2 linked regions of the Ovis aries genome follow. The protein of the gene in region 1 purifies or fractionates together with the protein of each later gene. This does not show direct contact. Links are inferred from orthologs where the notes say so. Each region holds a gene or a part of one and is shown on either strand. Other genes may lie near its edges.

Region 1 (15,585 bases):
TGGGCTTAGGAGTCACATCACATGGTTTCAAGTCCTGACTCTCTTATTTCCAGTTGTATGGGTCTGTCAAATCCTTGCCTCTGGTGTCCTCATTACTTCATCTGTGACTGGATATCAGAGGTCCTCATCTCCTGACATTTAGAAGAGTACCTTCCCTATAGTAGACTCTCAGTGATACTAGTTGCCTTTGTTGCTACTGTCTTTTTATGGCCTCCTCCTCCAACAGTCTTCTAAAAAATGTGTGAGTCTCATCAAGTTAGATGTGAGATGGCTGCTGATAGAATCTTCTGGCTTTAGCGGTAACTAGGATGGATGTAGAGGCAGTTTTTGAGTTCTGCTAACTAGAATGTAACCTTGGCATTCCACTGCTCCATTCAGTTCAGCAAAACAAGTCCCCTCTCCTCTTCATTCAGTTAAAAGAAACACTTATTGAACACCTACTAATGTTAAACTTTGAACTGGAAAAAAAAAAAAAACAATCCTTGTTCTCCTGGAAGTTTTGATCTGGCTCATGACTTTCAGTCCCAAAGAATTGGCAAGAAAACAAGCAAAGACCAACAAACACTTCTGCATTTGTAGAGATTTTTTTTTAAATGTAGATAAACAAATTTGAAACTGATGAATGAATGTTATTCTGTGCATACCCTTCCAAATTGTGTGCAAATAAATGCCCACGTGTTTGCTCTTTGAACTGTTGCAATAGATGCTGCATGTGACAGTGATTTTTGAACCTGTCAGGATAGAAAAATGTACCTTTTCTTTTTTAACTGTTGTTCAGTTGCTCAGTTGTGTTTGCCTCTTTGTGACCCCCATGGACTGCAGCACGCCAGGCTTCCCTGTCCTTCACCATCTCCCGGAGTTTACTCAAACTCATGTTCATTGGTGATGCCATCCAACTGTCTCATCCTCTGTCATCCCTTTCTCCCACCTTCAGTCTTTCCCAGCATCAGGCTCTTTTCCAGAGTCAGTTCTTCGCATCAGGTGGCCAAAGTATTGGAGCTTCAGCATCAATCTTTCCAATGAATATTCAGGACTGATTTCCTTTAGGATTGACTGGTTTGATCTCCTTCCAGTCCAAGAAACTCTCAAGAGTCTTCTCCAACACCACAGTTCAAAAGCATCAATTTTTCAGTGCTCAGCTTTCTTTATGGTCCAGCTGATTTCTCTGTAGCTCAGATGGTAAAGAATTTGCCTGCAATGCAAGAGACTTGGGTTTGATCCCTGGGTCGGGAAGACTATCTGGAAAAGGGAATGGCAACCCACTCCAGTATTCTTGCCTGGAGAATCTCATGGACAGAGGAGCCTGGCGAGCTAGTCTTGGGGTCACAAAGAGTCAGACACAACTGAGTGACTAACACTACTACTACTCACATCCATACGTCTGACTACTGGAAAAACCATAGCTTTGACTATACAGACCTTTGTCAGGAAAGTGATGTCTCTGCTTTTTAATACGCTGTCCAGGTTTGTCATAGCTTTTTTCCCAGGGAGCAAGCATCTTGATGGCTGCATTCACCATCTGCAGTGATTTTGGAACCCAAGAAAATAAAATATGTCACTGATTCAACTTTTTCCCGATCTATTTGGCATGAAGTGATGGGACCAGATGCCATGAAATTAGTTTTTTGAATGTTGAGTTTTAGGCCTGCTTTTTCACTCTCCTGTCTCACCCTCTTCAAGGGCTCTTTAGTTCCTCTTCTGTTTCTGCCATTAGAGTGGTATCATGCGCATATCTGAGGTTGTTGACATTTTTTCTGATATGCACACCTTGATTTATTCAGACAGCAGATACTCAGAATGCCTGCAGTGCTGGATACTGGGTGAACAGGAGTGAATTAAGAGAATAAAACCCCATGTTTCCCAGAGATCACAGGTGCAGCTTGTTTAGCAAAGAGTTACAAATCCTGTTTCTGCTCCTTTCTTGAGGTATGACGTTGGGGCAAGTTACTTAACCTCTTTATGCCTCAGTTTCTTCGTCTATAAAATGGCTCTAGTAACCACATAGGATTGTGAAGATTAAATTATCTGTACTACTAATGACTACCAATATTATCATTGTTACTGTTCTCTGCCAGTAGTGGAGTATAAACAACAATTTTGAATTGAAATGGGGATAAAGGACCTCCCGGGGCATTTTGTAAAACTGTAACCAAACCATATTACTACTTTCATCAAGAATGTTGGGTTTAAACTCCACTTATTTATTGAGTGAGGCAGGTCATTACAGAATCAAGAGTGGTCAGTAAGTGGTCCTTTGGTTTCCTTGGAGGTTTTTATTCACTAATCAGGTCTCCCTTCTCCCTTTTTTGTAAGTCTGGCATGTTGATTTGACCATATGAGAAATCTGAGGAAATAAACTTTTTCTATGAGGAGAGAATGGTAGACACCTTAGAAGCAAAGAAGCTTTTACACTGAGAGAACTGAGAGACCTTTCATCCTGCAACGAGATTCAGCTGTCTCTTCTTCACTAGGAAAAATGGCTGATAGACACTAATGAGAGAAAAATAATTTAAAATATATGTGTGGTGCAAAAGGATGTAACACAGAAAAGTAGAAATTCCTCACCAGTCCTCCCATCAGTCCCCAAAGTTCAGTTCTGTTCAGTTCAGTCGCTCCCCCAAAGTAGCCTCTGTTATTTCTTTTGTATCCTTCCAGAAATTTTCTTCATATATATAAGCATATATGTCAATTCTTAAAATCAATGAATCTCCCTTAAACCCAAATCCACAGCCACTTAAGGCCCTTTCCCAGAAACAACCTGATGGGCTACAATCCATGGAGTCGCAAGAGTTGGACACAACTTAGCAAGTAAACCACCAGACAACCAGGGTTTCTTGTGTATCTGAGGATAGCTAATATAATACTTCTGTAAGCTAAAACATGAATGTATATGCACTGGTGTACAGTGTAATGTATATTTGTCTATGTGAATGTATTTTTTTTTCTCTTCGGATGTTCTACATTTTACATTTCTAGAAAGTTTACCATCAGACAGTGTAGGGGAATCTCTTTCTCTCTCATTTTCCCCCACACCCTTACCATAATGAATTTCATCTGTCTTTTTTGATTTTTGCCAATCTTCGGTGAAAAATAATATCTCATTTCTGGTGCTATGTCTTTCTTTAATTATGAGTGAATTTGAGCATTTTCATATATTTAGTTGCATATCCTTTGTTCATTTTTAATTGGATTTCTTCTTAATTTATGTAAGATCTTTATATATTTAACAACTTAGCTCTTTGTTGTAAGGCTTGCACTAGTCCTAAATTCAGTTTGTTGCTTTTCTTTTTATTTTGAATATAGAAGTCTCAAAGAAGAAGAGGAAGAAGAGGAAATTACCCTCTGATGTGAATGAAGGGAAGACTGTCTTTATCAGGTATGACTTTCTATCTGGAGAACTGCTGTTTCTGTCACCTTCATAAGTTTTTCTTCTCTTCTTCCTCTCTCCCTTCCTTTCCTCTTCTTCTTCTTCTTTTTTCACTAATTCTGTTAGCTAGGCCAAAAAGTTAGATGCATGTAAGACCATCAGCACATCTGCCTAGGAACGTAGCACCACTGAGAAACGTGTAGGAGAATCAACTATACACAGGAGGTAAGCAGCAGGGGTCTTTGTATCTTGTCCCCATTTAGATGTTATTCTTTGTAATTGGGGTGGTGTCATTGGAACAAATGAATTCTTCAACTATTATTAATAGAAGCGTCTTGCTTCTGGCCTTTGTTTTAGGGTGAGTGCTGGGGAGGGATTGTACCTCTTGTCCCTAATTCTCTCCTCACGCCTGACTGATCTAAAGTCATGTCCATAAAGTGAAGCATCCTGTCTGTTTCCTGGAAAACCGAGAGAAGGGGATACCGTGTCAATGTTGCCTTTGCTGTTTCAGTTGCACTGACTGCCGTAGGTTGGCATTTTCAGGAAGTCGGGATGTCCTTGGCACCCCTCAATGGCCTTTTCATCCTTTCTTGAGTACCATTTTTGCTCGGGCTATTTGGGTCTTATTTTAGAGATTTCTGTTTTATTCTCTTGTACAGTCTTTTAAAGATGGTCTTCATTATGCAAGTAATTTATGTTTATTGTGGGAAATTTAGGACATGAATAGGCAAAAAGACATATGCACAAAATTAACTTTTCATCACTACTCAAGGAATACCCACTCATGTGTTCATATCATAAATACTTAACAAGGATGATTTCAGCTTATACATGCTGTGCTGTAGCCCATTTTCTTCCTTTATAGCACGTCTCCATTTTTTTTTCTTCTGTGTTATTTGGAATTTCCATGTAAACAATTTCATGTTTGTAGAGGATTCTGTGTAATAGGAATGAGGAATGTCACACTTAGAAGCCTGTGACCTCAGTACCAAGATTCCCTTCCTTATACATCTTTTTAATTTAAAGAGAACTTAGGAAAGTAAAGGGATGGAAGAGAGAAGGCTATGAACACGATGAGGCAAATTAGAAGCAATAATGTAGCTAGGATGTGTCTTATTGCAGAAAATCTTTTTTATCTTGGTTGCTCAATAAGATAAAACTGTTTATGGAGCTGTTAATTGAGCAAAAGAGAAGTAAAATTGTAGATATTTACTTGGAACTCTTTTTCTTGCCCCTGGAAGGCTGTGTATAACTGGGTTAAGAACCTTTACACTGTGTTGAAATTTAGTAGAACAGTGTCTCCTAACATTTTTAATCCCATCAAGGGATCCCATCTCCCCTCCTCCCCCCGCTTTTTTTTTTGTACTTAGCTAATAAACTTTACCATGTTTGGTTTTGAGTTACTATTTTGAAAGATTTTCTGACTTTTGTAAAGTTTTAACTGAAACCGAGATTTCATAGGAGTACAGAGGAGACATTGAGAGATGTTTGATTTCTCATTTGCTGTCAGTCTTTTGGTTCTAAGGGAAACTAATTTTGGCCAATTTAAGTGAAAAACCTGGTTTGTCGGATGAACGTTAGGGTAGCTCACAGAATCAAAGTTGTCAAAGAGCAAACCTCAAAAAGGGACCTTTGCTGGGTCCTTTGCTGTGGAAGACTGTGTGATCCTTTCTCTGAAGACACTCATTCTTGTTTTATCCCTTGTTAAGGTATAACATGTATTCTGTAAAGTATGTGTACAACCCAGTGACATTTTTCATATATATAGCCACAGATATACATATACCTTTATATGTGGAGATACATATATATGTTACAGAACATGTTCAGCTCCCCACACAGCTGTTTTGAGATAAATCTGTATCTGCAACTTCCGGTCTTTGTATATGTGTGTTCAAGTTTTATATTCCTGGGAGAGAGAATCTGATTAACAGAGGACGTTCAGTCGGTTATGGCCAATGGCCAGAGTCATACATCGGTGGCCTGGCTAGCGGGGGTCACCCCTTGGTGCTATCCTTGGGGAGGGTGGTTCCAAGGAACCACTCCAGATGATGTCTGACTCATTCATCTTGTACTGGAGCACAGGGTCTCACTTTTGTAATTGAGCTCTCTTGTTCCCTGATTGTCCTCCATAGAAACCTGTCCTTCGACTCAGAGGAAGAAGACCTTGGAGAGCTCCTGCAGCAATTTGGAGATCTTAAATATGTCCGTATTGTCTTGCATCCAGACACAGAGCATTCTAAAGGTATTTGCTGTCATCTGGTTAGGCCCAAAAGGATTGAGACCACTGCCATGGGCACTGACTAGGTTACATGAGGGCATAATGTGTGCCCTCCGAGGGGTCCACCATCATCCAGGTTTCTGTGATCCATAGAAGCACCAAGGACATTCTGAGGTTGTTTTCCAGTGATGTCAAACTCAGCATCTGTCATGGTGTTGCCAGCTGTAATTTTGTCTAAGCTTTTTAAGCTCTTGCTTATTTACTTTAGGGTAATGAATTCCATTTGTTGTTCTTTGAATTTCAAATGTGATAGCATCTCATGGCTATTAATCATTCCACAGTGCTTGAAATTAGGGAGCTATTTTTCAGTTGCTTTTGTTAGTGAGGGAAGCTGATGGAAACTTTGTTGCAATGCCAACAGTCAAAAGGAAAAGCAGAAGTGCTGCCTTAGTGGTGGTGCTGGTTTGTTTTTTTTTTTCCCTAAGCTGTTTCTTTTGAGCTAAAGGTTGACCACTCCTCATTCTAATATACTGTTGTTAGATAAACATCTTTTCAACCCATTCATAATCTTTGATTTTTATCAAGTACAATTGTTCTGCTAAAGCAGTGACTTTTTAATTCATTCTGGTTCTTGATCCCTTTGAGATCTAGCAAGAACTCTGAACCCTATCCTCATAAAAATGCCATTTCTGAGTGTTTTGGAGCTCTCTGGAGCCTATCTATGGATTAATTACTTCCATTCTAAATCTTATTTTCCTGTTTGATGAAACCTGATCATTTTTAGTTTCATTAGCTTTAGAAGATGTAAAATGAGGTAGTATAATGGAAAGGTTAGGTTAGGGGTCTAATCCCAGCTAAATCACCAGCTGGGTGATTTTTTGGCACCCATTTAACCACTGTGGGCTTCCGTTCCTTATCTGTAAAATGAGTGGGTTCAACTAGAGTAATCACTTAAGGTGCCTTTAGCTCTGATACTCAATTATACCTCTTGGACCTTCTCCATTTTTATTTTTCTGAAAATGGGCAACTAGAATTGCATAGAATGTTGCAAGTACTGTCTGATTCTGCTTGACTTTGGTCATCTCTTTTATCTCTTTCTGAGTGCCCTAATGTATTGGGTTGACATTTTTAGAATGGAGTCTGTGGTTGATTGCTCAATCTCTTTCTTGGTCTGTTAATGTTAGCTGAGAGTTAATGGTTTTAATGAGCATAGTTTGTTTTTTTTCCATGATATGTTGTCTTTCCCTAGCTCATATTAGATTTTCCTGGCACTTTCTGCCTACTCACACAGCCTTGGCTGCCTCCTACCCCTCATCCCTGTTAGCTGCTATTTTGCTGCCTGGAAGGGCTAAGTATTATCTGAAGACTTTTGGGGAAGTGTTAAAACTGACCCAGTAGATACCCTGGAAATTCCCATGGTAACATTCTTACCCATTCAGAGAGAAGAACCCACCTCATTTTCTTCACATTGGACTTCTTTCTGTTTTACTTGTTGCTTCCTATTGAGTATCTTCTAATGGTGGATGTTATGGTACATACTTTGGATGTAGAAACAGCCAAGAAACATGAGCTTTCTTCCTGAGACGTTCAAGTCTTTTGAGGAAGATGCTCCCTGACATCCATAATAGAAATGGGAGTGGAGGATGGCTGGGGTGGAGTGTAGGGGCAGGGGGGGGATACAGGGGTTCTTACTTAGCTCTGCCTGCAGGAGGCAGGGAAGACCTCACTAGACGAGGCCTTTGGCCTGCCACATGCGTCCTTGCAGTTAGTTGGCTGCCATTCATTCTTAGAGGGGCAAAAGGTCAGTGCCCCAGTAGCTCTAGGAAATATGGCACTGCCTTCCTCTGTGAGGGAAGAATTAAGGTTTTTAGGAATGTTAACAAAATATTATGGAACTTAATTTTTTTTTTTAGTTTACTATAAAGTCAACTTTTTTTTTTTTCCTTATAAAAGCTGCTTTTTATCAAAAGCAAAAGATTAGGATAGTTGATAGGTCCTGCCTCTAACCAGTGAAAGTTATGCCTGTGGAAATTCTATAGCAGGAGTCAAAAGCTGAGCTCATGACTTTCCAGTTCACCACTATATTCACAGGATAGAGGCCAGGGACTTTTACTCCAGGAACTAGACTTGCCCTCATCTGATCCCTCCTTAGGGAATCTGATGACAGTGAGATCTGTAGTTTCAGGCTTAAGTGATTGCTGCTTCATTTTTTTTTCTTTTCAGCCCTCTAACAAGCACGTAGAATGTGACACTGAAACATTAGGCTGGGATTTCTCTAGTATTTCTTGCGGATATATCTCGTTGCATGAGATGGTACGACTAAAGTTTCTAAGAAGCATTAGAAAAGATGAAGGCAATAATAAAAAAATTTCATTATGAGCAGGTGTGCTGTCTTGCCTGTCTTGAACCCCTGGTGCTGGACACAGTGCTTTTTAGTTAAGTTTCATTGTACTTAACACAAGGGTGCTACTACCCCTTCCGCTTCATGTCAGGCTGCCACCATGCATAGTGTTGTCTTTGGCTTCCAGGTGGGCCGTGAGAGCCTGGGATCCCACTTAGTTTTGTCTCTCTGTGCAGGCTGTGCATTTGCCCAGTTCATGACTCAAGAAGCAGCCCAAAAATGCCTTGAAGCTGCTTCTCCAGAGGCCGAGGTAAGGAAAACATTTCCTTTATTCTGTAATTTAGGTGATTGCCTTCCAGGGGCAATAGCTGATACTTCCACAAAACTTTATTATTATTATTGTCAATGATATGAAAATAATAAAGCTAAGACTTATTGAATACATAGTGTGTGTTAGGACTTCCCTGGTGTCTCAGATGGTAAAGAATCTGCCTATAATACGTGAGACCTGGGTTTGATCCCTGGGTGGGGAAGCTCCCCTGCAGGAAGGCATGGCAACCCGCTCCAGTATTCTTGCCTGGAGAATCCCATGGACAGAGGAGCGTGGTGGGCTTCCAGTCCATGGGGTCACAAAGAGTCGGACATGACTGAGGGACTAAGCACAGCACAGTGTGTGTTAGGCACTGAGCTTTACACGCATGACCTTGTTTAATCCTCACATCAGTCCTATAGGTGTTTATAAGATGAGTAATCCTTTATAGGTGAGGAAGTAGGTATAATAATTTATATTATGGGTCAGTTTCTTATATCAGTCTCTATCCTAGGCTGATGGTGTGAAAGACTGGGACAAGAAGGGATTAAGGCCATCTATGAAGTGGAGTAAATGTTTGAGAGAGAAAGTGTGTAGGTGATAGAGAATTTTTCTGTGTATTCTATAACCAAGTATAAACTGTTTTGAGCTGAGTTATCGTGTATTGCCATTGTCTCTTAAATTCTCATGAGTAGAGTTATCACTACTATTTCATTAGCTTTCTTTAGCATACTAAAAATTTGCCTATTTACAGATCGTTTTTCTTAATTTGGTCCTACTTTGGGACTAATCAACTCCCTGAAAACAAATGAACATGTGGCCTTTGCATAGCTGTGCTAAATACTGTTCAGCTCAGTGATCCACTTGCATCTGGCTGGCCTAAAACATCCTAGCAGCGGGGGTCCACACAACAGTGGGGGTTTGCTGGTTTCCCTTTCCTTGGTGCTCCTTGTCAGGTGCTTAGTTTCTGCTCATCATGAATTTTATTTTATTTTATTTTATTTTTTACTCTTGGTATTTTTTTAGGTCTTTATTCTCCATCCACCCATAAAAGTCATTTTTCTCCAAGATACTCTTCTTTTTTTTTTTTAATTTTTATTTTTACTTTATTTTACTTTACAATACTGTATTGGTTTTGCCATACATTGACTTGAATCTACCTCGGGTGTACATGTGTTCCCAAATATGAACCCCCTCCCACCTCCCTCCCCATAACATCTCTCTGGGTCATCACCGTGCACCAGCCCCAAGCATGCTGTATCCTGTGTCGGACATAGACTGGCGATTCGATTCTTACATGATAGTATACATGTTACAATGCCATCATCATGAATTTTAAGAGAGAGGTTGCAATCTATTTCAGGGTGGCGGACTTAAACTGGATGGCCGGCAGCTTAAGGTTGACTTGGCAGTGACCCGTGATGAGGCTGCAAAACTCCGGACAAAGAAGGTGAAGAAGCCGACTGGGACCCGTAACCTCTACCTGGCGCGAGAAGGCTGTGAGTAGTGGCAGGGAGAGGGGAACCAGGCTCTGGAGTAGCTGGCCACTTGCCATGACAGCAACCTGACAGTAGTATGTTTGGAGCATGTTTCAAATTAAAAGCCCTGCAGCCTCTTTAATGGTGGTATACTATTATTATTGTACTTTAGCAGATGTAGTAGATAGTCCACTTTAACAGAAGCACAGCTTTCTGTTAGGAAGCCTTCACCCAGTTCATGGGTTAGCCAGTCCCCATTCTCCTTTCTGACTGATTGTCTTTAGACCTTTTCATCAGAAGATTATTTCATCAGAGGGAGGAAAAACCCAAAGTACCTTTGTCCCTTATCATCATTTCTGATAGGTTTTTTGAAGGAGTTGAAAATTATGACTAAAATTACTCTTTTGGATTACTTATGGATTTAAAATATGCACTGAGCACCTTTCCCTTAGTGTCTGAAAGATAATCAGAAATTAGCTTTAATTAAGACAAAAGGAGAATTCCTTCCTTTAGGTCACACAGTACTGCCACCTGCTGCACAACCTTACCGCCCGGACTAGCAAATGGGAGGCTGTTAACCTTGGAGGCCGGGCCTGGTGTTATACAGTGTGGCTGTTCTCTTGGTTGGCTTATCTCACCGCTTAGAAATGGCTCCCAAATACATTAGCAGGGAGATTTCCAAGGACAGGTCATAGGTAGAGCATATTGGCATTCCAAATGCCTAAAATGTACTTATTTCCAAACTTCCTTTAGGCCTTCCCATCTGACTTTGGGCACGACATGAAATTTTTTGAAGGGAAGGAAGAAGAAGAACAAAATCACAAAATGTTCAGAGTTTTAGTCCTTGAGAGCAGCTCATAGACAAGAACTTAGCCCTGTAGCCTATTTCTGGACCTACCCAGATAACCACTGTGTCCTGGCCAGCATAGTCCTCTGGGCCCTCTATAGAGAGCTTGCATCATTCACATCACATTCCTCTTATTGCTCAGTGAAAATTCCCTTGCTGATGTCTTGGCCTTTTTCCCTCTTTCTGCAGTGATTCGCGCTGGGACGAAGGCTGCAGAGGGTGTGAGCGCTGCTGATATGGCCAAGAGAGAACGAGTGAGTAGATTAGGCACCAGCTTCAGGTTCTGCAGGACTTAATATAAATCAATAAATAATAATGCTAAAGGTGCTCATCAAAGAGCCAAGCAAGTATCGGTCACAGGTGCTACTTATACTATTGTTGGAAAACATGTATACAGGTGGAACAGCCACTAACCTGACGTTATACATCATACCATGTCAACATTATGTACTGGGTCTTATTCTTTGTTTTTGTAATGCTCAACAGTATGTGTTTGCCAAATAGTATGCTTTTAGATCATGAAGTAGACAGAGGCTCAGGCTATATATAATTAGGTGTCAGTATAAATGCAGAATAATATGAGAAAGGAAGGTCAGTGTGGGCTAGAGTAAATAGGGAGGGAAGTGTGGATGTGTGTCTTGGAAGGGAAAGATAGGATGTATTTTGGTGGAGGGAGGGTGGTATCTCCAGATTATGAAATCATTTTAGGAAAACCCCATACTATGGGATTTCTAGTGATAACTAATATTGTTGAGTTCCTTTGCTGCTTAGCAATCTTTGTTCCAATAATTTTTGCTTTTGCCCGTATAGTTTACTTTCACAAAGCTAAGCCAGCCTAGAATGGTAAAGATGCATGATCATTAATAGAATTAGCTCTGGAGCCTGGAAGTGCAAAAGATGACGGACAGAGATGAGAATATAGTGACGGCTGGAGGCAGCATGTCTTTTCTGTGCAGGCTCTAGACTGGTGTCCTCAACAGGTGTTGGTAGTGAGCATCTGGAGATCATGGTCTGTGGGGGCATTGAATGCCCTTTTCTGATCACAGTGCGATAGTGACACATTTAATTCTCCTTAAAGTGAATTTTCCTAGCAAAAGGCTCACTAGATTATATGCATTATAATTAAACAGCAGACACAGCTTTTCCTGGGAGAAAAATCGCACTGTTGAATTTAAGCACGATAACCCTTCAGATAGCCCTTTTAATATTCATTTCCAGGGTATTTATTTTGTGAGTTTCTGTAATAGTATCTTTACCAAGTAAGAAGTGGCAAAAATGAAACTTGATAAAAGTTTAGCTTAAAACTTTTCTGCTGAGCTGCTCTTAAGAAACAAGTCAGGAGAAGGTCACCCTTTCACTTTAGAGAGAGGTTGTCCTGGGGCCAGTGCTTTGTGCAACATAGGTCAGGCTCTGGAAACTGTTTGTTTCTATTGACGTTTCTTTGCCTCAAGGTGGCAGAGTTGAGACAAGACAGTATTCTGTCGCGTATTCTTTAAGTAAATCCATCTCCTTTTGGAAGGAGTAAATAATCAGTTTGAGTTGGTGGATAGGTAAGGACTTGGCATAGATGTTAACTACAGTATTGTTTATCATTTGCTCTGGGCCAGATTTGAGCTTGGGATTTTATGCATGTTACCTTATTTCAGCCTCACATCAGTACTGAAAAATTGGTATCATATTTTGATCTGCAGTTCTACCCTGTAGGTGAAATTATTGAGGCTTAAAAAGTGTTACGTAACTTCTCAAATTCAGCCCGACTCCATGATCTTATCACCCACCCGCCCTCTTGCCGCCTCGAACCTTTCTTTCCCTATGTGCTGGGCATCACCAAAAGGCTGCAGCATGGGTGATTCCCTTATCTTTTCTAGATGTGTGGTTACTGGATTGGGGTCATGGTTCTTTCCTGTTGGAGAATTATGTGCCTGTATCTTTAAAGGGTGGATTGTACTGTTAACAGTTTGTTATTTTTTCAGTTCGAGCTGCTGAAGCATCAGAAACTCAAGGACCAAAATATCTTTGTCTCCCGGACCAGGCTGTGCCTGCACAATCTCCCAAAGGCCGTGGATGACAAACAGCTCAGAAAGCTGCTGCTGAATGCCACCAGAGGGGAGAAGGTGGTGCGCATCAAAGAGGTGAGAGTTGGCTCTGCCCACTGGGGGCTTCGGTGCTCGTCCTGGGCCAGAGCGCATGTTTATTTCAGGCTGTGGTGCTAGTGGGTTTCGCTGATGGCTCAGCAGTAAAGAATCCACCTGCGTTGCAGGAGACATAGGAGACGCAGGTTTGATCCCTGGATCGGGAAGATCCCCTGGAGGAAGAAATGGCAACCCACTCCAGTACTCTTGCCTGGGAAATCCCATGGGCAGAGGAGCTTGGCGGGCTACATCCACGGGGTCACAAAGAGTCGGACACTACTGACGCGACTGAGCGCGCATGCCCAAGGTGCTAGTAGATTGACAGATTTTCTTTTGGGCTCATTGTCAGCAGACAAGACTGAGTTTAGTGATGTTCATGGTTTGGGAGGTTTAAAAAACTTTTTTCCCCTCTTCTAAGAACTGCTTTTCATATCTGACCAGTTGCAGCAGAATGTGCAGAAGTATCTGCGCTCATGACTTAATTCAGCAAGCATTTATTGGGTACCTGCTGCATTCTCAGCATTATACCAGGTGCTGTAATGTTAGTTTTCTTGCAGAGAAGATAATCTATGTTCTCTGCTCCTTGGAGGAGCATTTCACTACCATTTAGGCTCTTGCACTATAGTAAGTTCTCAGTGCCCTGTGGTGAGCACAGGGAGTCACTCGGGTCTTCGGCAGTTGTGTTAGACAAACTCTGAATTCACACCAAGACTTAGTCAGGCTCTCTATGACTACAGGAACTGCTGTCCTGCCCCCGCAGCACCCCCACATGCCTGTTGTGGCGTTTATTACTACACTGTCCTGTAATTGTTCGTCAGTCATTTCTCCCAACCACACTGAGCTCTTTGAGGGCAGGTGTCATCTCATTGTTCCCAGTTGCTGGCATAGTACCTGGCACATAGTTGTCTCTTGATCAGTGTTTATTGAATAAGTAGCATAGCCAGTATTATGAATCTGCTTTGCTCTGATTCATCACCATAAACTATTTTCCTACTCCTGGAAATCCTCTTCAAAATGTAAGATATTGCTATTCAGGGAATTATAGGAGAGAATGTGAACATAGCTGCCACCACTCTTGGTAAAACCATTCAGTTACTGTCATAAGAGTCAGTTATGTAATTTCTCATCAGCATCTGCAGGACTTAGTAAGAGCCTGCATATCTAACACCTGTCATTGCTTAGAGACATGTATGTGTATTTTACAGTATTTGCATTATATTGAATTTTCTCTTTAAATCTTTTGTATGTGTAAGTATAGTGTTCAGCTAAGATAGTAAGCTTTTTGAAGATCAGAGCCTCATTTTATCCTTTTCTTTTTTTAAATGAATACCTGAATCGTTTTACTATACACTGAAAGCTAACAACATTGTAAATCAATTATACTTCAATAAAAAATTTTTAAACAGCAAAAAAATCAGTTATATTTTCTTTTGAAATACAATCCAAATTTCTTAATCACTAAGAAAGCTAAGGAAAAAAAGAGTATCAAGACACAGTTTCTATGGCTCTGTTATAAAGCATGCCAGACGAGCCACAGGTTAATATAAATGTTCATCTCAAAAATAAAAACAACCCACCAGTAGTGCCAAGGGATGGAGTATTTAGTAACATCCCCACTGAGGATAAGAATATTTCCACATTGTTTTGAGTGTACAATTTTAATGTTTTGCTAAGGTGAGTCTTCATCACATACCACTTCATCGATGCTGTGCCCAGCCAGTCTGCCATCTGCAGTGGGCCAGTATCTCTTGATGGCCCCTCTTCTAGCTACGGGTGGTAATCACTTCACCTGCTCAGTACTGTCCTGACTCAGTCCTTTCATTCTTCTACTGTGTTCAAAAGACTGTCAGCTTCTTTGCCTTGGGCATCACAGTCGTAACTCTGAAGGTCCAGAATAAATCTGGATCCAGGCAGGTAAATTCTCAAATTGGCAAAAGCTGCCATTTTTATGTAGGTTGCTAAATAGCCATGGTCCTGCCAGGTGTGCACTGACTCCATCATCACCTGCTCCCAGAAAATGGACTAGAGGCCTTTGGAATGGTCTTACCATCCAATGATCTCACTTTGGCTCTGAGCATGAAGTCGAGGGTGCTGTGCCATGCTGCATCGAGGCGAGACCTGGCCAGGCCTAGGGGCGGCAGCTGAGGAAACTGGAGGGCTGCGCAGCGTGTCTGGCTGCCAAAATGCTTTTCTCGACTTCCCTGCAGTACATGGCACCGTTCTAGGCACAGAGTGGATACTGGACATATACCAAATGCGGCATCCACATGTCCCTGATACCTAGACTTCTCCATTACTGACAAACACAGTTTCCTAGGAGTGAAACCCCGTAAATGGTCAGTTTTCCCAAAATACCCCACCATTCCTTGGTGCCCCAAGATGCCTGGTACAGCTTAAAGTTTTAGGAAAAAATCATGCAAGAGAAGATCTGAGCTCTGAGCAAATACAGGTGACGCTCCTTCCTGTATTTCTGAGGCTATTTGTTGGTCAGGATCTTCCTCATGCCAGAACTTTCTTATCTAAAGCCATCAGGCCTTCATCCTTCCCTTCTTGAGTAATATCTCTTTTGAGTGACTTCTTCAGTGAGGAGACCTGCAGACAGCACTTGAGGCCTGGAGCTGATCTATATACCACCCCAGGTACCACACACCTCTCGGCTAGCATGTGCTGTCATGTCAGTAGTTACCTTTAAAATTCTTCCTTGGGAAGTTTCTCTGCATGCTTATTTGGAGGTCTGTGTGGATGTTTGTAAACCCTTAGAAAGCAAGAAAATACCTATTTAATGTGTTCTGTGCTCTCAGGTATATTCTAATAACACAGACATTCATAAGTGTTACTCCAGTAAAACTCTTGTGATGGTGATATAGATGAAGACTGTTTCAATAACCT
Region 2 (16,162 bases), on another chromosome or scaffold:
TGGTGGCCCACAGACCAAAACCATGCCCACACTCAAGCAGGGAAAAGAAACACCCACAGTCCCAGCGCATCCTCTGCACCCACGTCACACTTGCTGGTGTGACCCTGTATCATGACCACCTCCTCTGCCCGAACACACTTGGTGTGAGCAGAAGTGCTCCTCCAGGTGTGGCTCTGAAGTCAGCACAGCGGATGGGGTCTGAACCCCACCGCCACAGGAATCCCAGCCGTCACCTAGCCCCCCGGCCAGGCTCTGCACTCGACTCGGGACCATAGCCCTCTAGAGATGCTTGGGGCCTGGAGTCCGGCCAAGGCTGCCTGCTGCGTCAGGGTGGTTCAGCCTGTGAGGTCTGGTCTGCTTGGATACGCAGGCTAGATGGCGTGACCCTCGCTCCTAGAGCAGCTCAGGGGTGGGGCAGGGTCTCCCCTTTCTGATGGAGACACCCTAGGCTGCAGGCCTGCCCCCAGTCCATCTGGGATCCCATCAAACTGGCTGGGGACAGGGCCTGGAGCCGAGAGCAAAAGGCTCGTGGCTCAGCACACAGAAGCTGGGTTGTCAGAACCCAGTGAGCCAGACCCAAGTCAGAGTCTGGGTTAGGGTTACAGGATTTATTGACACCTTAGGGTGTCTGCCTCCCCCGGGACTCCAGGGGACCTGATCACATGGCATCAGGAGCTGGGTCTAACCTGCCCTGACGGGCCTCCTCGCGTGTGGCCACCCCCTCCCCTGGCCTGGGAGACTGCTGGGGTGAAGAGACAGGTGCCCTCTGCTGGAGAACACCCCCAAGGTGTGCAGTGGTCAAGGCCTGACTGCTGCGGTCCCTGGGGCCACCATGGTGTCCTCAGCCAGCTGAGGCTTGCTGCCCACAGCGCTCTGGGCTCTCGACAACCCCACAAACTCAGTATGGCCATCCCCCATCTCCTGGAGGACCCTGAGGCCTACCCATCAGGGAACGCCGCCCTCTACCCTCTGCCCAGAGCTGGCCGCCCTGCAGGTGGTGCTGCCCAGGGAGACCGGCGGCGGCCTGGACCTCATCCGGGAGACCTACCAGTTGCACTGTGACGACCCAGAGGTGGTAGAGAGCGTGTGCCTGCTGCTGGCCTACCTGGCCGCCTACAGTGAGGACCCGGCTCACGGCTGTGGTGGGGGCGAGGGCAGGAATGCGCTGGGCCAGGCACCATGCTCCTGAGTCCCAGGGCTTCTCACTGAGCCCCACAGGGTGGAGGCCCGGCCCTGTCGCACCCACCTCAGGAACCCCCTCTGCCCGCAGAGGAGATCCTGTCTGAGCTGGCGTCCAGCGGCATCCAGCCCCTGGTTGTGGAGATCCACGGACGCTTCACCTCCAGCCTGGTGAGTGCTGGTGGGCCCTCCCTGCCTCACTGCAGGGCCCCGCTAGGGCTGCGGAACACCCTGCGGGGCGGGGGCCGCCCAGACACCGTCCAGGACAGCCAGCCGCCTTCTCCTTGCAGGAGCTCGTTTCTTACGCAGCCAGCGTCCTCCACAGACTGGAGGCGGCCGCCCAGCCCAGCTCTGAGGGCGGCCGGTAGACGCCACTCTGGGGAGCCGCCTGGCCCTCCTCTCCTCATCGACCTGTACCTGACCAGGCGCCCAGTGCCACGGGCGTCTCCTGGGGGCAGGGCGTCAGGAGAGGTGAGACCCAGCCATCCTCTCAGACACGGGGCCTCCACAAGGCGCAGCTCAAGTAAAAACAGGCATTTATGTCACACAACCTTCGTGGTGGCTTTGGACTTTTCACACGGCTGGCGGGGGCTCAGTGTAGCCTAGGGCACTGCACGCTCCCCTCAGTGCAGAAGGCTGTTCCTGTCCTCAGAGAGCCCGCACCCCGGGCGGGGCAGGGCGGGGTGCCCCAGGCACCCACGCTCACTCGTCCGTTCAGGTCGGGGGGCGCCCACCTCCGGGAAAATCACACTGGGCAGCCCGAGCCCCCCTGCCTGCTGTGGGCTCTAAACTGGAACTTGAATATAGCGGGTGTGCACGGGTGGGGCGAGCGGAACCCCAGCCTCAGGAGATCCCCCCAAGCCCCCGAGTGGCAGAGAAAATCCCTCAATGAGGGGGCGACGGGGCAGCTGTGCGGTCCATGCCCGAGTCCCAGTGTTCCTTTCTTCCTGTTGCCGACAGCAGTGAGGGAAAGAGGCCCCCCAGAGGAAGGTGATGAAGACCCGTCAGACAACCAGATGCTTCCCGCCCTGGCCCCGGGGAACCGCAGGGACAGCCCCGGGGCCCCCCGTGTGGGAGAGGCTCAGCATAGCAGCACGCACACCACGTGCCTCTGCTGCCGTGATTTTGAAACCCGCCCTCAGCGTCACAGCTCCGGGGGCTCCGGGGCTCCGACTGCCCTCTGATGCGGTTGCAGCTCCCGCAGGCGCAACGGTCTCCTGGGGCGGGGCCCTGCTAGGCGTCCTGGCTGCGGGCCTCGGGAGCGGGGGGCCTCCTGTCGCCGGGGAGGCTCTCCCAGTCCCTCTTCACCAGGACGTACAGCCTCATCGCCACCTGTGCATCCTGGACCTGGGGGACACGGGCCATCACCACGGTCATCCTGCTGGTGGCTGGTGTGGCCACCCACCCCCGTCCATCCCACAGCTCCCGAGTCCTGCCGCCAGACGTGGGGCGATGACCATTGACGCGGCTCCCACTCGGGAGGGATGGGCGTGCTGGCTCACGAGGGGCCCCGGATGCCACACAACTCGGGAGGCAGATGGGAGGGCTGCGGGCCCAGCCCGATGCCCAGAGGGCCAGGCTCTGTGGGCCCGCAGCCTCACCCTCAGCCCTTGGGGGTCTGCAATCTAGACAGGACCCGGAGGCCCCTCACCCCCGTCACCCAGGACCCAGAGGCCCGTCGCCCCGTCACCCGGGACCCGGAGGCCCGTCGCCCCGTCGCCCCATCACCCAGGACGTGCTTACTGAACAGTGCTCCGCCTGCTGCACCTGGATCCCCAGGATTCTCTCTGCAAGCAGCTTCAGAGACGGCCGTCCACTCTGCCGGGGAGAGGGGAGCGCGTCGCCACGTTCGGGTGGGGCCTGGGCAGGGGGTGGCCCGCCGAGCACTGACCCAAGGGACTGTGAGTGTCCCTCCCACGCAAAGTGGCCGTGTGGGCTGGTGACTGCCCGCTTGGCCAGCGGAGGACCAGGGAGGGACTATGCATCGTCGGCCCCAGGCGGCCCTGCTCGTGGGTGGGGGAACGGCCCTGCTCATGGGCAGGGGGGAGCGGCCCTGCTCGTCGTGGGGGGTCCCTGCTTGTCGGGGCGGCGGCCCTGCCTCTGGAACACACACAACGTGCCTTCTGACCCACAGCTGGGGGTGTGACCACAGGTGAGAGAGGGCCCACTGCCCTCAGGGGCGCTAACTTTGGGTTGGCCAAGTCTTCTCTAAGATTACTTTTTTTAAAAATGTCTAATTCTCCTGTGATTCTCATTTATTTATTCACTGGTTGTTTTTTTTTTTTTGGCTGAACTGCAGCATGCAGGATCTCAGTTTCCTGACCAGGGACTGACCTTGGGCCTCCGGCAATGGAAGCGCCAAGTCCCAACCACGGGACAAGTAGGAAGTCCCTCCTCTTAGTTTTAAAGGTTAAAACGGAAAACCAAACCAAACCCAAACACCTTTAACCAGGAAGCCAGCTTCCAGGGACCAGAACCCGTAATCACGTGAACCACGCCTTCAGAACCACATGGTTTCAGGTACCTTCACTTGGGTCCTGAAAGGCTTGTACTTCTGAGTGTCCCGGATCTTCTTCTTTGGGTGGCCCAGAAACAGCGCCTGGAGGAGGAAGGCACGACAGGCATTTTGGTGTCTATCTGCAGAAAGGTGCACCCCTTTCTCAGAATCCCACACTGAGCACACAGACAGGACAAAGCACTGATGAGAGGCTGAACTCCTGGGGGCGATTATCGCGGGACAGGTGATGCTCAGCAGGAAGAACGCGTGGACAGAAACACAGCCTTAAAAGTGGGGAAGGCGGAGACTCAGTCACCAAGGAACCAGCAACCGTTTGTCCTGTATTTGAGTTTGCATCACACATACACACAGAAAGTCAGGGATGAAACGGGGCCCCCCACGATCTCGAGACAGGCCCAGGAGAGGGTGGAAGGCAAGTCTGCCCAGGTTACCAGGGTGGGGAGGGCACAGGGGCTGAAGCGGGAGCCTGAGCGCCCAGGGCCTCCGAGCTGAGAGCACGTGCTGCCCAAGCACCTCATCCCAATGGGCGGGCCAGTGCGGCCCGGGGCAGAGACCCTGGCGGGCACGGCCGAGCCCCACCCTCAGGGGCACAGGAAGGGGCCCTCGAAGCTGGCCTGCCGCCCGCCGTGGGCCAGCCTGTGAGATGGGGTCTGCCCGGGGTTCCGAGGGAACAGGCACCGGGGGTGCCCCCGCCTGGGGAGGGGGCTCTGCCCTGAGGAGTGGGGCCGTCGCTGGGCGGGGCGGCAGCGTTAGCCACGGCTCCGTCTACCCGGGTGTGTGAGGAGCTGCCCCCTGCCCCGGCTCTCACTGTGGGCGCGTCACCCACGGCGGGAGGCGCGCGCGGCTCCTCCGACGCCGCGGGACACAGAGGCGTGGGCCAGCACCTTGAGGTCGTTGTGCAGCGCGTGTCCAACCAGAATCCGGCCCTTGAGCAGGTCCGCGACTTCCCTCTGAACAACTTCAAACTCTTCTCCTGGAAGCCACACACGGGAGAGGTTTCAGTGCCGCGCCGAGAGCGAGCGCTCTTGCCCCGTCAGACCCGGGGTGGGTCAGGGCCTCAGGAGGGCGGGCCAAGGGGAGGCTGCGCCAACCGGGCTCGTGCCCTCGGGCTGCCCACCCGGCCCAGGCGGGACTGGCAGAGCCTGGGGCCGAGGAGCAGCCAGGCCGCAGCACGGGCCGTGCTCCAGGATCCGAGAGGCGTGGACGGCAGAGACCACGCGCCCAGAGGAGGGGGGCAGCTGCCTCGAGCCCCCGCCCTCAGGATCCCTCCAGGCCCCAGATCTCAAGGCCCCCGAGCACAGCTCGCCCAAGGGCAAACTCTGCAGACCAGGGCCCCGGATGTGTCCCAAGGTGGGACACCTCCGCCTGCCCCCCCGACCTCATTCCCAATGTAGGGATCCCAAGGGAACCTACGAGAACCTGCCCCAGGCCAGGCCTCCCGCTGCTCGCCCTGTCCCCACAGCTTCCCAATAGTCTAGAAGACCCTGCCGCCTGTCCCGCCTCCCCAGGCCCGTCTTCACCTCCCAGCGGCCTTCTTCCTCTGACACCCTGTCTGTCCCCGCTGCCCAGCGACACCACAGTTTGGGGACACTGGTCCAGCCGACAGTCAGGCGGCCGAGAGGCAGCCAGGCCAACACAAAGCCCACCCACCCGGGAGGGAGGAAAGACTGCCGGGCCCCCGTGGCGGCCGTGCCCGGCTGAGCCACGCACCCTGCGCCAGGTCCGCGGGCCGGATGCCGCTGACGGCGGTCCTGTAGTCAGTCACCGGCTGCGTCGGCTTCACGTGCTTGTCGTACACGCACCACCCGTGCTGGTTCACCAGGGACACGCGGGCCACGATGCTCTCCTCCCCCTTGGGGCCCACGCCCACCATCTCGCAGTCCATGGCTAAGGCTTTAGTCAGCCTGGGGAGGAACCAAGGCTCCAGGTTACCCGGTGGGATCCAGGACCCGGTTCCACCACTCAGTGCCGTGCCGAGGACTGGGCTCGGCCAGGCACCGAGCTGCCTGCCCATACGACAGGAGGGGAGGGAAGCAGCCCTTTCCTGAAGAGCCCCCGCCGCCCCCGAGGCTGAGTGTGCCCTGCGTACCCGCCGAAGGGCCGCTCCTTCACCAGCGTGGTGCTGCTCTCGCTCTGACCCAGCTGCCGCCTCGCTACGCTGGCTGCCTCTGGGCCGATAGCCGCTTCGATGTCCGCTGGGTCAACATCGTCAAACCAGATGTCCTCTCTAGAAGGCAGAGGGGAGAACGGGCTGAGCGCGGTGGCGAGCGTGGCCCGCTCTCAGGGCAGCTCAGGCCCGTGTGCCTGGCCACCGGCCACGGTGATCACCTTGGCACTTTCCCGTTTAATTAAAAAATACGCCCTTTAGCTAAAATGGAGGAACCTCAGAGCAACACAAAAAACACGAGACGGAAACACACCTGCGCCCCTACTCGGGTGTGACGGCTGTGACGTTTCCTTCTCAATGACAGAACGAACAGCTACCAGACGTTTAGGGACCACAGATAAACACGCTGCCAGGAAAATGGAGACTCAGACACCCCTTGGTGCCCGCAGCGTCCCCGTGCCGAGCCTGCAGACGGGGCGCCCGGGCTGGGATGCTCAGCAGCCGGGTCCTCTCCTCCGAGACGCACTGGCCGACTGGACAGGCCCTCTGGCCTCTGCCCGCTCAGGCTCCTCCCTCGCAGGACTGACCCCGACCACACCTCGGGAGTCACTGAATCAGTGCATCCCCGCACCCCAACGGCCCCTTCTCGATGCGGGGCCCAGCTGGGACCACTCTTTCCCAAGAGGGCGCCCAGCACCGAGACACACGCAGGCCCTGAAACGCTGCCTCCTGAAACCTTCAGCCACTGCGTCCTCAACCCCCGGCGACACACAGCCAGGCGGACTTACAGACACACCACCCCCTGCCGAGCCATGCAGAGGCAGCTGCTGACCGGTCCCGCGTGGGCGACACCCAGGCTTTGTTGCATAACCGGCATGCACTGGGGCAGCAGGGGCGCCTCAGCTCCAGCACCGGTTGCCGCGCTGCTGCTCAGGGCACCTCAGGAACTGGCCCCAAACCACCCAACTGGCAAGATGCAGGAGTCGGTTTTGAACTCAAGTCTTTCTGGCTTTGGTGTTCGTTCATTCCACAAGTCTTTCCTGGGGGCCCACGAGGTGCCAAGCCCTGTTCAGGGCCCTGGAGATACAGCAGCTATGGGACAGGGTCAGCCTCTGCTCTGCCTACGTTCTAGGGGGACAGACTTACCCCAGGTTAATTCTAAATTAGCTGAATCACCCTGAATTACCCACGAAGAAACCCACAACGCCAGGATAAGGTGACAGAGGGGCCACCAGCCTCGGCCTCCTTAGGGAGAGAGGCCTCGGTGGCTGTGACCGGGGAGGAGGCTGAGGCACAGGGCGGCCGGGAAGGCCGCATCCATCATCACGTCCCGTGGTACTTACTTGGTGGGCAGGGCTGGAGGCAAGGGGGCAGTCGGCTCCTCAGCTTTCCGCTTCTTATGTTTGATGTCGCCTTGCTGCCGAGAAATGTCACCACTGGTCCTTTTCTCGGCCCCTTTCTCCTTGGGCTGCGCCTGTATCTTCCTGCTATTCAGTGATCCCGAGGGCCCAGAGGACCCTGTGACCTCAGGGTCTGTGTTTTCCATCCCCATCGCATCTCTCTTTGCTTTATCTGAGATCGAGTTTCTACTTTGTTGGACATGCTGTGGCTGCTTTTTGGAATCCGTTTGAGAGAGAAGTGGAGGCTCTTGTGGAGTCTGTGATCTTTGTTTCAGCAGCTAATAGAACCCAAAACAAAATACACAACGCACTGTGATTTGGGAATCGCACACCAGAGGTGGGAAAGAAGCGCGTCTGTGTCCAGAAGCCGCCCGCCCCCGCACTGTTGTTTCAGAGTCTCCTCCTCCCGAGCCCACGCGTGGGGGCCACTTCCTCAGCCAGATCCCTTGGTTTGCTCCTGCTGTGAGGGTCTCAGGAAGAGATGGTCACGTCCAGTGACACGGGGTGGACCACCATACCCCTGCTCTCCCCCAGGGAGGGCTGAGGTCTCCCAGCCCAGCGCCCTCGGTTAAGACCCTGCTGTGCGGCAACCAGCTGAGTGAGGAGGCAGTTCCTACCTAGCTGTTCCTGTGATGTTTAAACAACAGGAGAACTGCCTTTCTTGTATGAATTAGAGAAAACGTGAAGTTTCTTCCCACAACAAATATCCATCCCTCTGCTCGCTTCTTTTTGCTTTACTTTCTTGTAAGAAAGAGGCCGAGTTACAGCCCAGGAAGTCTGAGACCCCTGGGGTTGCCCGAGGGAATTTCATGGTCTATGTGTCAGGACAGGAGAATGATCTGGACTCCCCCCTTAAGGCGCAGGTTAACAGTCTCAGAAGCCCTTCTCTGCGCTCCCCCTCACCCACTCTGAGACTCCTGGAGAGATCTCAGGAGCTCAGAAGAGGCTGCGGAGACACCATGAGGGTCGGCAGCAGCAAAGAGCGCGAACTCCCACCCAGCCCTGTGCACCTGCACCCCAGGCGCTCGCTGTGTGACCCTGGGCCATGTCCCTCAACCCCTCCCAGTCTCCTCATCCAGAAAACAGCTGTACAGCAGCAGCCGACTCTGGCGAAGGCGGTTTACGAGTGAAGCTCAGCCGACGACAGCACCCAGGAGATAGTGGCCGGTAGGTAATCTGCAAGTCTTGGTGCACTGATGGCCCAGAAAGGCAAGGAGGTATCGTGGCATTACGAGCAGGGAGTTGATGGGAGGGGGCTTGGGGTCTGACTCCTGGCTCTGCTGACCTGGTTGCAATCTACTTAACCTGTCAGGCCCACTTCCTCATCTGTAAAATGCAGATGATACAAGATCTCAGAGTCGGTCTCAGGTTAAATATGAACACATCAGCTCAGCTCATCCAGCAGTGTCTAAAGCACACGTGAAGCACTCAGTGATCAGTAGCAGTGGTCACCGATTAAAGGCCCAGTGTTGCCAGAATTTCATGGCAAATAGATGGGGAAACAGTGACAGACTTTATTTTTTGGAGCTCCAAAATCACTGCAGATGGTGACTGAAGCCACGAAATTAAGACACTTACTCCTTGGAAGGAAAGCTATGACAAACCTAGACAGCATATTAAACAACAGAGATGTTTCTTTCTGACAAATGTCTATACGGTCAAAGCTATGATTTTTCCAGTAGTCATGTATGGATGTGAGAGTTGGACCATAAAGAAAGCTGGCACCAAAGAATGGATGCTTTTGAACTGTGGTGTTGGAGAAGACTTTTAAGAGTCCCTTGGACTGCAAGGAGATCCAACCACTCCATCCTAAAGGAGATCAGTCCTGGGTGTTTATTGGCAGGACTGACTCTGAGACTGAAGCTCCAATACTTTGACCACCTCATGCGAAGAGCTGACTCACTGGAAAAGACTCTGATGCTGGCAAAGACTGAAGGCGGGAGAAGGGGACGACAGAGGATGAGATGGTTGGATGGCCATCACCGACTCGATGGACAGGAGTTGGTGATGAACAGGGAGGCCCGGTGTGCTGCAGTCCAGGGGGTCGCGAAGAGTCGGACACGACTGAGCGACTGAACTGAACTGAACTGTCAGCAGGGTCCTCTGCATGCAGCCTCTGCTGTTCCGCAGCCCACGCGCTCCGGCCTCTGCGATCGGCTCTGCTCCCCGGGTCCGCTCCAGCCCGCGCGCCCCCCGGGACCCACACACCGTCCCCCTCTCCGCCCGTAGGCCCCCCGCGGACTTGCCTCCTGCAGCGCCTTCCAGTTCGGGGAAAAGTCCTCCGGGGCCTTTGGGGGCCGCACCGCGACCACTCCGGGGTCGTTCCCCGGCGCCCCACCGGCTTCTCGCGCTTTGCTCCTCCAGGCCCTTTTCTTCCGTCTCGGCTTCCTGACGGGCCCAGCGTCAGGCGCGGGGGCACGCGGGGCGCGCGCGGCGGCCGGCCCCCTCGCTTTCACCATGCCGGCCCCGGAGCCCGGCTGCCCGCAGTCCGGGACCCCGGAAGCCGCCCGGCACGCGTCCCCCTCACGTGGGCCCCGGTTTCCGGGAAGTGCTCTCTCTCTCCCCAACCGGGCTAGAAACCGAGCCTTCGCCTCTGGTTCCACACAGCCGGGAGAAGGGCGGGCCTCCTCGACTGCTGAGGAGAAGGGCCGCCGCCCTGGTGAGCGGCGTCCGCGGTTGGAGGCCCCGGGTCGGGTTGGAAGAAGCCCGGGATGTCTCTGAGGGCAGGCCCGGGGCCGAGAAAGGCGAGCGCCGGAAGGGGAGCGAGGGGGACCGCTGTTGGTGTAGCACCGAGGCCGGGCCGGCGGGGAGCGCGGCAGGCGGCCGCCAGGGGGCGCTGGGCGGCCGGACCGGGGAGCAGCGGGCGCGGAGCCGACGCCCGGTCCTGCGGGCCGCTGTCCGCCGGCCGCTGTTCCCACCCCGGCCCGTCTTGCCTACGCGGCGGGGACACTGAGGTCCAGGGCCGGGAGGGGCGACCCCAGGTGGCTCTCCGCAGTCCAGCAGCATCCGATAACAAGGATAAAGCGCTGGGACAAGTGTTGTCTGTTCAGTTCAGTTCAGTCGCTCAGTCATGTCCAACTCTTGCGACCCCGTGGACTGCAGCGCGCCAAGCCTCCCTGTCCATCACCAACTCCCGCAGTTTACTCAAACTCATGTCCGTTGAGTCGGTGACGCCATCCAACCATCCCATCCTCTGTCGTCCCCTTCTCCTCCTGCCTTCGATCTTTCCCAGCATCAGGGTCTCTTCAGCTGAGTCAGCTCTTCGCATCAGGTGGCCAAAGTATTGGAGTTTCAGCTCCAGCATCAGTCCTTTCAATGAACACTCAAGACTGATCTCCTTTAGAATGGACTGGTTGGATCTCCTTGCAGTCCAAGGGACTCTCAAGAGTCTTCTCCAACACCACAGTTCAAAAGCTTCAATTCTTCGGTGCTCAGCTTTCTTTATAGTCCAGCTCTCACATCCATACATGACTACTGGAAAAAACATAGCTTTGACTAGACGGACCTTTGTTGGCAAAGTAATGTCTCTGTTTTTGAGTATGCTGTCTAGGTTGGTCATAACGTTTCTTCCAAGGAGTGAGAGTGTTGTATGTTATGTGACAACAATGATGTTACTCGCACCTCCTGCCTGGCTCTGACAACACCTGGAGGCCAGGCCTGCATTTCCCCAAAGCTCCCATCCCAGCCTCTGTACCTGTGCTGGGGGCCCTTCAGGGAGATTCAGATACCAAATCAGCAATTTTGTATCCTAGCAACTGCCACCAAGATGAGAAGATGAAATGCTGTGTTAGAGACCGAGGAGGGTTAAGGCTGCCAAAGAACCTGCAGGACGCCCAGAGAAACAGGGATTTCAGATAAAGAATAATTTTTACTATAATATGTTCCATATAATAGCTACAACACTGAGGGCATACTCCTTGTTTAGTCGCTAGGTTGCGTCCCAACTCTTGTGACCCCGTAGACGGTAGCCTGCCAGGCTTCTCTTGTCCATGGGCTTTCCCAAGGGAAGAATACTGGAGAGGGTTGCCATTTCTTTCTTCAGAAGATCTTTCCGACCCAGAGATCCAACCACATCTCCCGCTTGGCAGGTGGATTCTTTGTCACTGAGCCACCTGGGAGGCCCTGAGGACGTCATTGTTATTGTTCAGCTGCTAAGTCATGTCCAACTTTTTTCAACCATTTGGACTGCAGCACATCAGGCTACCCTGTCTGACACCATCTCCCGGAGTTTGCTCAAACTCATATCTGTCGAGTTGATGTTGCCATCTGTCCATCTCATCCTCTGTCATCCCCTTCTCCTCTTGCCCTCAATCTTTCCCAACATCAGGGTCTTTTCCAAGGAGTCAGCTCTTTGCATCAAGTTGCCAAATTATTGGAGCTTCAGCTTCAGCATCAGTCTTTCCAATGAATATTCAGGGTTAATTTCCTTTAGGATTGACTGGTTTGATCTCCTTGCTGTCCAAGGGACTCTCAAGAGTCTTCTCCAACACCACAGTTTGAAACCATCAATTCTTTGGTGCTCAGACTTCTTTATGGTCCAACTCTCACATCTGTACGTGACTACTGGAAAAACCATAGCTTTGACTATATGGACTTTCGTCAGCAAAGTGATGTCTCTGCTTTTTAATACACCGTCTAGGTTTGTCTTAACTTTCCTTCCAAGGACAAGCGTCTTTTAATTTCACGACTGCAGTTACCATCCACAGTGATTTTGGAGCCCAAGAAAATAAAATCTGTCACTGTTTCCACTTTTTCCCCTTCTATTTGCCATGGGGTGATGGGACTGGATGCCATAATCTTAGTTTTATTTTTTAATTAATTTTTTATTGAAGAATAATTGCTTTAGAGAATTTTTCTGTTTCCTGTCAAACCTCAGCACGAATCAGCCATAGGTAGACATCTCTCCCCTCCCCTTTGACCCTCCCTCCCATCCCCCTCCCCACCCCACCCCTCTAGGTTGACACAGAGCCAGACAGCAAATCCCCGTTGGCTCTCTATTTTCCATGCGGTAATGTAAGTTTCCATGTTGCTCTCTCCATGCATCGCGCCCTCTCCCCCCTCCTCATGTCCATAGGTCTGTTCGCTATGTCTGTTTCTCCGTTGCTGCCCTGCAAATAAATGATTCAGAACCATTTTTCTAGATTCCGTTTATGTGCGTTAGAATACAATATTTATCTTTCTCTCTCTGACTCACTTCACCCGTTTAACAGGTTCTAGGTTCATCCAGCTCATCAAAACTGACTCAAATGAGTTCCTTTTTGTGGCTGAGTTCCCTGGTAGCTCAGAGGTTGAAGTGTCTGCCTTCGCATCGAGGTTGCTTCCGTGTTCTAACTATAGGGAATAGTGCTGCAATGAGCGATGGGATACACGTGTATTTTTAACCTTAGTTTTTTGAATGTTGAGTTTCAAGTCAGCTTCTTCACTCTTCTCATTCACCCTCAACAGGTCCTTTAGTTCCTGTTAATTTTCTGCTGTCCTAGTGGTATCATCTGCATATCTGAGGTTCTTGATGCTTCTCTTGGCAGCCTTGATTCCAGGTTGTGACTTATCCAACCCAGCATTTTCCATGATGCACTCTGCGTATAAGTTAAATTAGCAGGGTGGCAATATACAGCCTTGCACCCCTTTCTTGATTTTGAACCAGGCTGTTGTTCCATGTTTTGTTCTAACTGTTGCTTCTTGTCTTGCACACCAGTTTTAGGAGGCAGGTCAGGTGTTCTGGTATTCTCGCCTCTTTACATTTTCCACAGCTTGTTGTGACGCACACAGTCAAAGACTTTAGTGTAGTTGGTAAAGCAGAACTCTCTTGCTTTTTCTATGATCCAAGAGATGTTGGCAATTTGATCTCTGGTTCCTCTGCCTCTTCAAAACCCAGCTTGAACATCTGGAAGTTCTCAGTTCACATACTACTGAACCCTGGCTTGAGGGATTTTGAGTGTTACCTTGCTAGCGTGTGAGATGAGCGGTAGTTTGAGCATTCTTTGGCATTGCCTTTCTTTGGGATTGGAATGAAAACGGACCTTTTCCAGTCCTATGGCCACTGTTGAGTTTTCCAAATTTGCTGGCATATTGAGTGCAGCACTTTGACAGCATCATCTTTCAGGATTTGAAACAGCTCCACTGGAATTCCATCACCTCCACTAGCTTTGTTTGCAGTGATGCTTTCTAAGGCCCACTTGACTTCACATTCCAGGATGTCTGGCTCTAGGTGAGTGATCACACCATCATGATTATCTGGGTCATGAAGATCTTTTTAGTACAGTTCTTCTGTGTATTCTTGCCACCTCTTCTTAATATCTTCTGCTTCTGTTAGGTCCAGACCATTTCTGTCCTTTATTGAGCCCATCTTTGCACGAAACGTCCCCTTGGTATCTCTCATATTCTTGAGGAGATCTCCAGTCTTTCCCATTCCGCCGGTTTCTTTTATGGCTTTGCACTGCTCCCTGAGGAAGGCTTCCTTACCCCTCCTTGCTCTTCTCTGGAGCGCTGCCTTCACTGGGACAGACCTCTCCCTTTCTCCTTCGTGGTTCGCTTCTCTTTTCTCGGCTGTTTGTGAGACCTCCCAAGACAACCACTTTGCCTGCTTGCATTCACTTTCACCCGTACACCAGAGAAAGAAAAAAACTTCCGTTGTTTATCTGAAATTCAAATTCCACTGTTGTCCTGACTTTTTTTCTAAATGTGGCACCCCTCGTGGGGGGAGGGGTAGTTAGATGGCGCCATGAAGAAGGTGATGTTTGGGCTGAAACTGGACTGTGAAGACCAGAGGTGAGGGGGTGGACAGGACACTGGAGCTGTTTGAGGGACGGACGGCAAGCTGGGGGTGGGTAGCTGAAGGTCTGTGAGCACAGGGGGCGGGCTGGGGAGGCAGGCAGAGGGCTGACGGGGCCAGACGGCAATCACAAGGCCTGGAGCCTCAGTGGACATGACATCCTAAGGGCAGAGCTGGGGCGTGAGGACGTCAGATGGGAGGGGGGAGGGAGAGCCAAGGGGCCAGGTGGGACGCCCAGTCCAGATCCCAGCCCAGGTTGATGAGATGGCTGGATGAGCACGGTGTGTCAGTTTGGGTCTCGGAAAGCACTGCCAGAGACGGAGTCGGGCAAGAGCAGCACCCACTGGGGTGGGATGCCCGTGGCAGATAAAGGGCGGAGGCTCAGACCGCTGCTGGCAGCTGTGAGGGGAAGCGGACGCGCCCAGATGGACAGGCAAGCACCTCTAGTGTAATAGGACTCGAAGCGGGCTGAGGTGGGCACGGGCCAGGGGGGCCCCCTCCCTCATTAGCCTCCTGCTGGGGAAGGCCTCCTGGAGGCGGGGGGAGTGGGCACACGCTCCTGAGAACCTCCCAGCAAACGGAGGGGATCAGGGAGCCTGTGACGCCGAGTGTGCCCAGTGCCCCCAGCCCAGTGCTGTGAGCACCTGCTGGATGCAGACACAGGCCAGGCAGGGGCCGAGAGGGAGGGAATGAGGTGATGATGGGAGCGCAGGGTGTCCCTGGGGGAGCGGCAGTCACACTGCTGGGAGATGAATCCTACCCCTCCCCAATCCCCGACCCCAGCCCCGTGCTCCTAGGGGCAGGCTGGGTGGCAGCCCTCTGAATCAGAGCCAGCCCCCGCGCATGGCCAGGAGGAGCCAGCAGGCCGCCTAGTCCCCCAGCGCCTGCCCTGGGAGGAAGCGCCTGCGAGTAAACCCAGCCTCCTGGTCCAGCCCCGAGGCCCTGCCTGCCCGGCACTCCAGGAGCACTCCAGGATTCCGGCAGATGATCGCAGGCAGCATGGCTCCCTCCACGCTGGGGAGGTGCATGCAGGGGACCCTCACTTCTGCGCTCTTCCTCCTGAGCTGCTGGGCGCTCCCTGATCCTCGGCAGGTGGGTGGGCCCGCGGGGCCGTGGTGCTGGGGGAGCCCGGGAGCTGAGAATCCAGACTCTCCTAGGGCTCAGGGCTGGGTTCCCTGGGGGGTGAAGGGGTGCCCAATAGCACTTGGGCAGAGGGGGAGGAAGTCTGAACGCGGGGTTCAGGGGACAATTGGGCTCCCTGGAGATGGAGTCGGCCTCAGTGCTGTGCGCCTGATGTTGAGGGCGGATGCCGTCCCCGCCACTCCAGTCTGTCCAGGGCCCCTCTCTTGCCCCTCAGCCTGCTCCCCCCACTTCCCCTCCCTGTGTCCCCTCACTCCTCAGTGCTGTCTCTCTGTCTCACAGCAGTTTCTGCAGGCCCTGGAGCCAGGGGACGTGACCTCTTACTTTGGCCCTGATGCTGCCTTTGAAGGTACGTGTCCTGGCGGGCCCCCTTGCAAGGGAAGTTTCTCAGAGCCCCCGGGGGTGGGGGGAGGCAGGGGCATCTCACCATTGAGTCAGGGGGCCCGACTTTTTGGAGGCTGTCCTGGGAGGAAGTCAGAGGCGCCGCTGTCGCTCTTAATTAACTCTGGCCCTGTCTGCCAAGTTGATAAAGACTGGTCTGGGTGTTCCGGGCGAGCTGGGGCTCTGACCCTGGGAGTCTACTCAGTATCTCGAGGCAACGGTCACTCATCAGCTGGTCTCTCCCAGCCCGGCGCCTCGCCTGGGACGACCGGCTCAGGAAGTCCTGCGGGTTTCTGGCCAGGATGTAAACATTTACGTTTTCTGTGAGAAGCAAGATGGAAACTGGGTCGCACTCCTGCCAGAGCCTTTTCCCGCTGTTCCTGGGCTGCCTCTGTGGGCCTCTCCATGGTGCCAGCCCCCTTTCCGACGAGGACCACTGGGGACTTTGATCCAGAGGCCGGTGGGGGCCAGGGGCAGGGCGAGCAGAGAGTGAGGGGTGTCCCGCTCGTGACTGCTCTGGGGTCGGGGTCAGGTGCGGGGCCGGGCCGGTGGGCCAGCGGGGACCCCCAAGAGGACCCGGAGGGCCGAGCAGGGGTGAGCGCGGAGCCTCCTGTTTCCCGCAGCGCCCCCATTCGACGTGGCCTCCCCGGCCTGCGCCTGCAAGC

What was found.
Region 2: the proteins of RBM28 (region 1) and REXO4 purify together in Homo sapiens (affinity purification with mass spectrometry; 3 studies listed by BioGRID and IntAct, with this or other methods). This does not show direct contact. The link is inferred for Ovis aries from reciprocal best matches to the Homo sapiens genes RBM28 and REXO4.

What each region holds. Positions count from the first base shown.
Region 1 is NC_056057.1:94,216,307-94,231,891, reverse strand, and holds part of RBM28 (RNA-binding protein 28), read left to right. Parts: intron 1-3,303; coding exon 3,304-3,376; intron 3,377-5,502; coding exon 5,503-5,612; intron 5,613-8,165; coding exon 8,166-8,239; intron 8,240-9,602; coding exon 9,603-9,738; intron 9,739-10,753; coding exon 10,754-10,818; intron 10,819-12,537; coding exon 12,538-12,696; intron 12,697-15,585. UniProt on the Homo sapiens protein: Nucleolar component of the spliceosomal ribonucleoprotein complexes.
Region 2 is NC_056056.1:2,634,106-2,650,267, reverse strand, and holds REXO4 (RNA exonuclease 4), read right to left. Parts: upstream 9,710-16,162; 5' UTR 9,664-9,709; coding exon 9,451-9,663; intron 7,483-9,450; coding exon 7,148-7,482; intron 5,925-7,147; coding exon 5,787-5,924; intron 5,602-5,786; coding exon 5,408-5,601; intron 4,671-5,407; coding exon 4,582-4,670; intron 3,779-4,581; coding exon 3,704-3,778; intron 2,998-3,703; coding exon 2,923-2,997; intron 2,527-2,922; coding exon 2,413-2,526; 3' UTR 1,699-2,412; downstream 1-1,698. Other genes in the region: serine/threonine kinase-like domain-containing protein STKLD1, read left to right, coding at 978-1,118, 1,271-1,350, 1,470-1,547; ADAMTS13 (A disintegrin and metalloproteinase with thrombospondin motifs 13), read left to right, coding at 14,961-15,068, 15,399-15,465.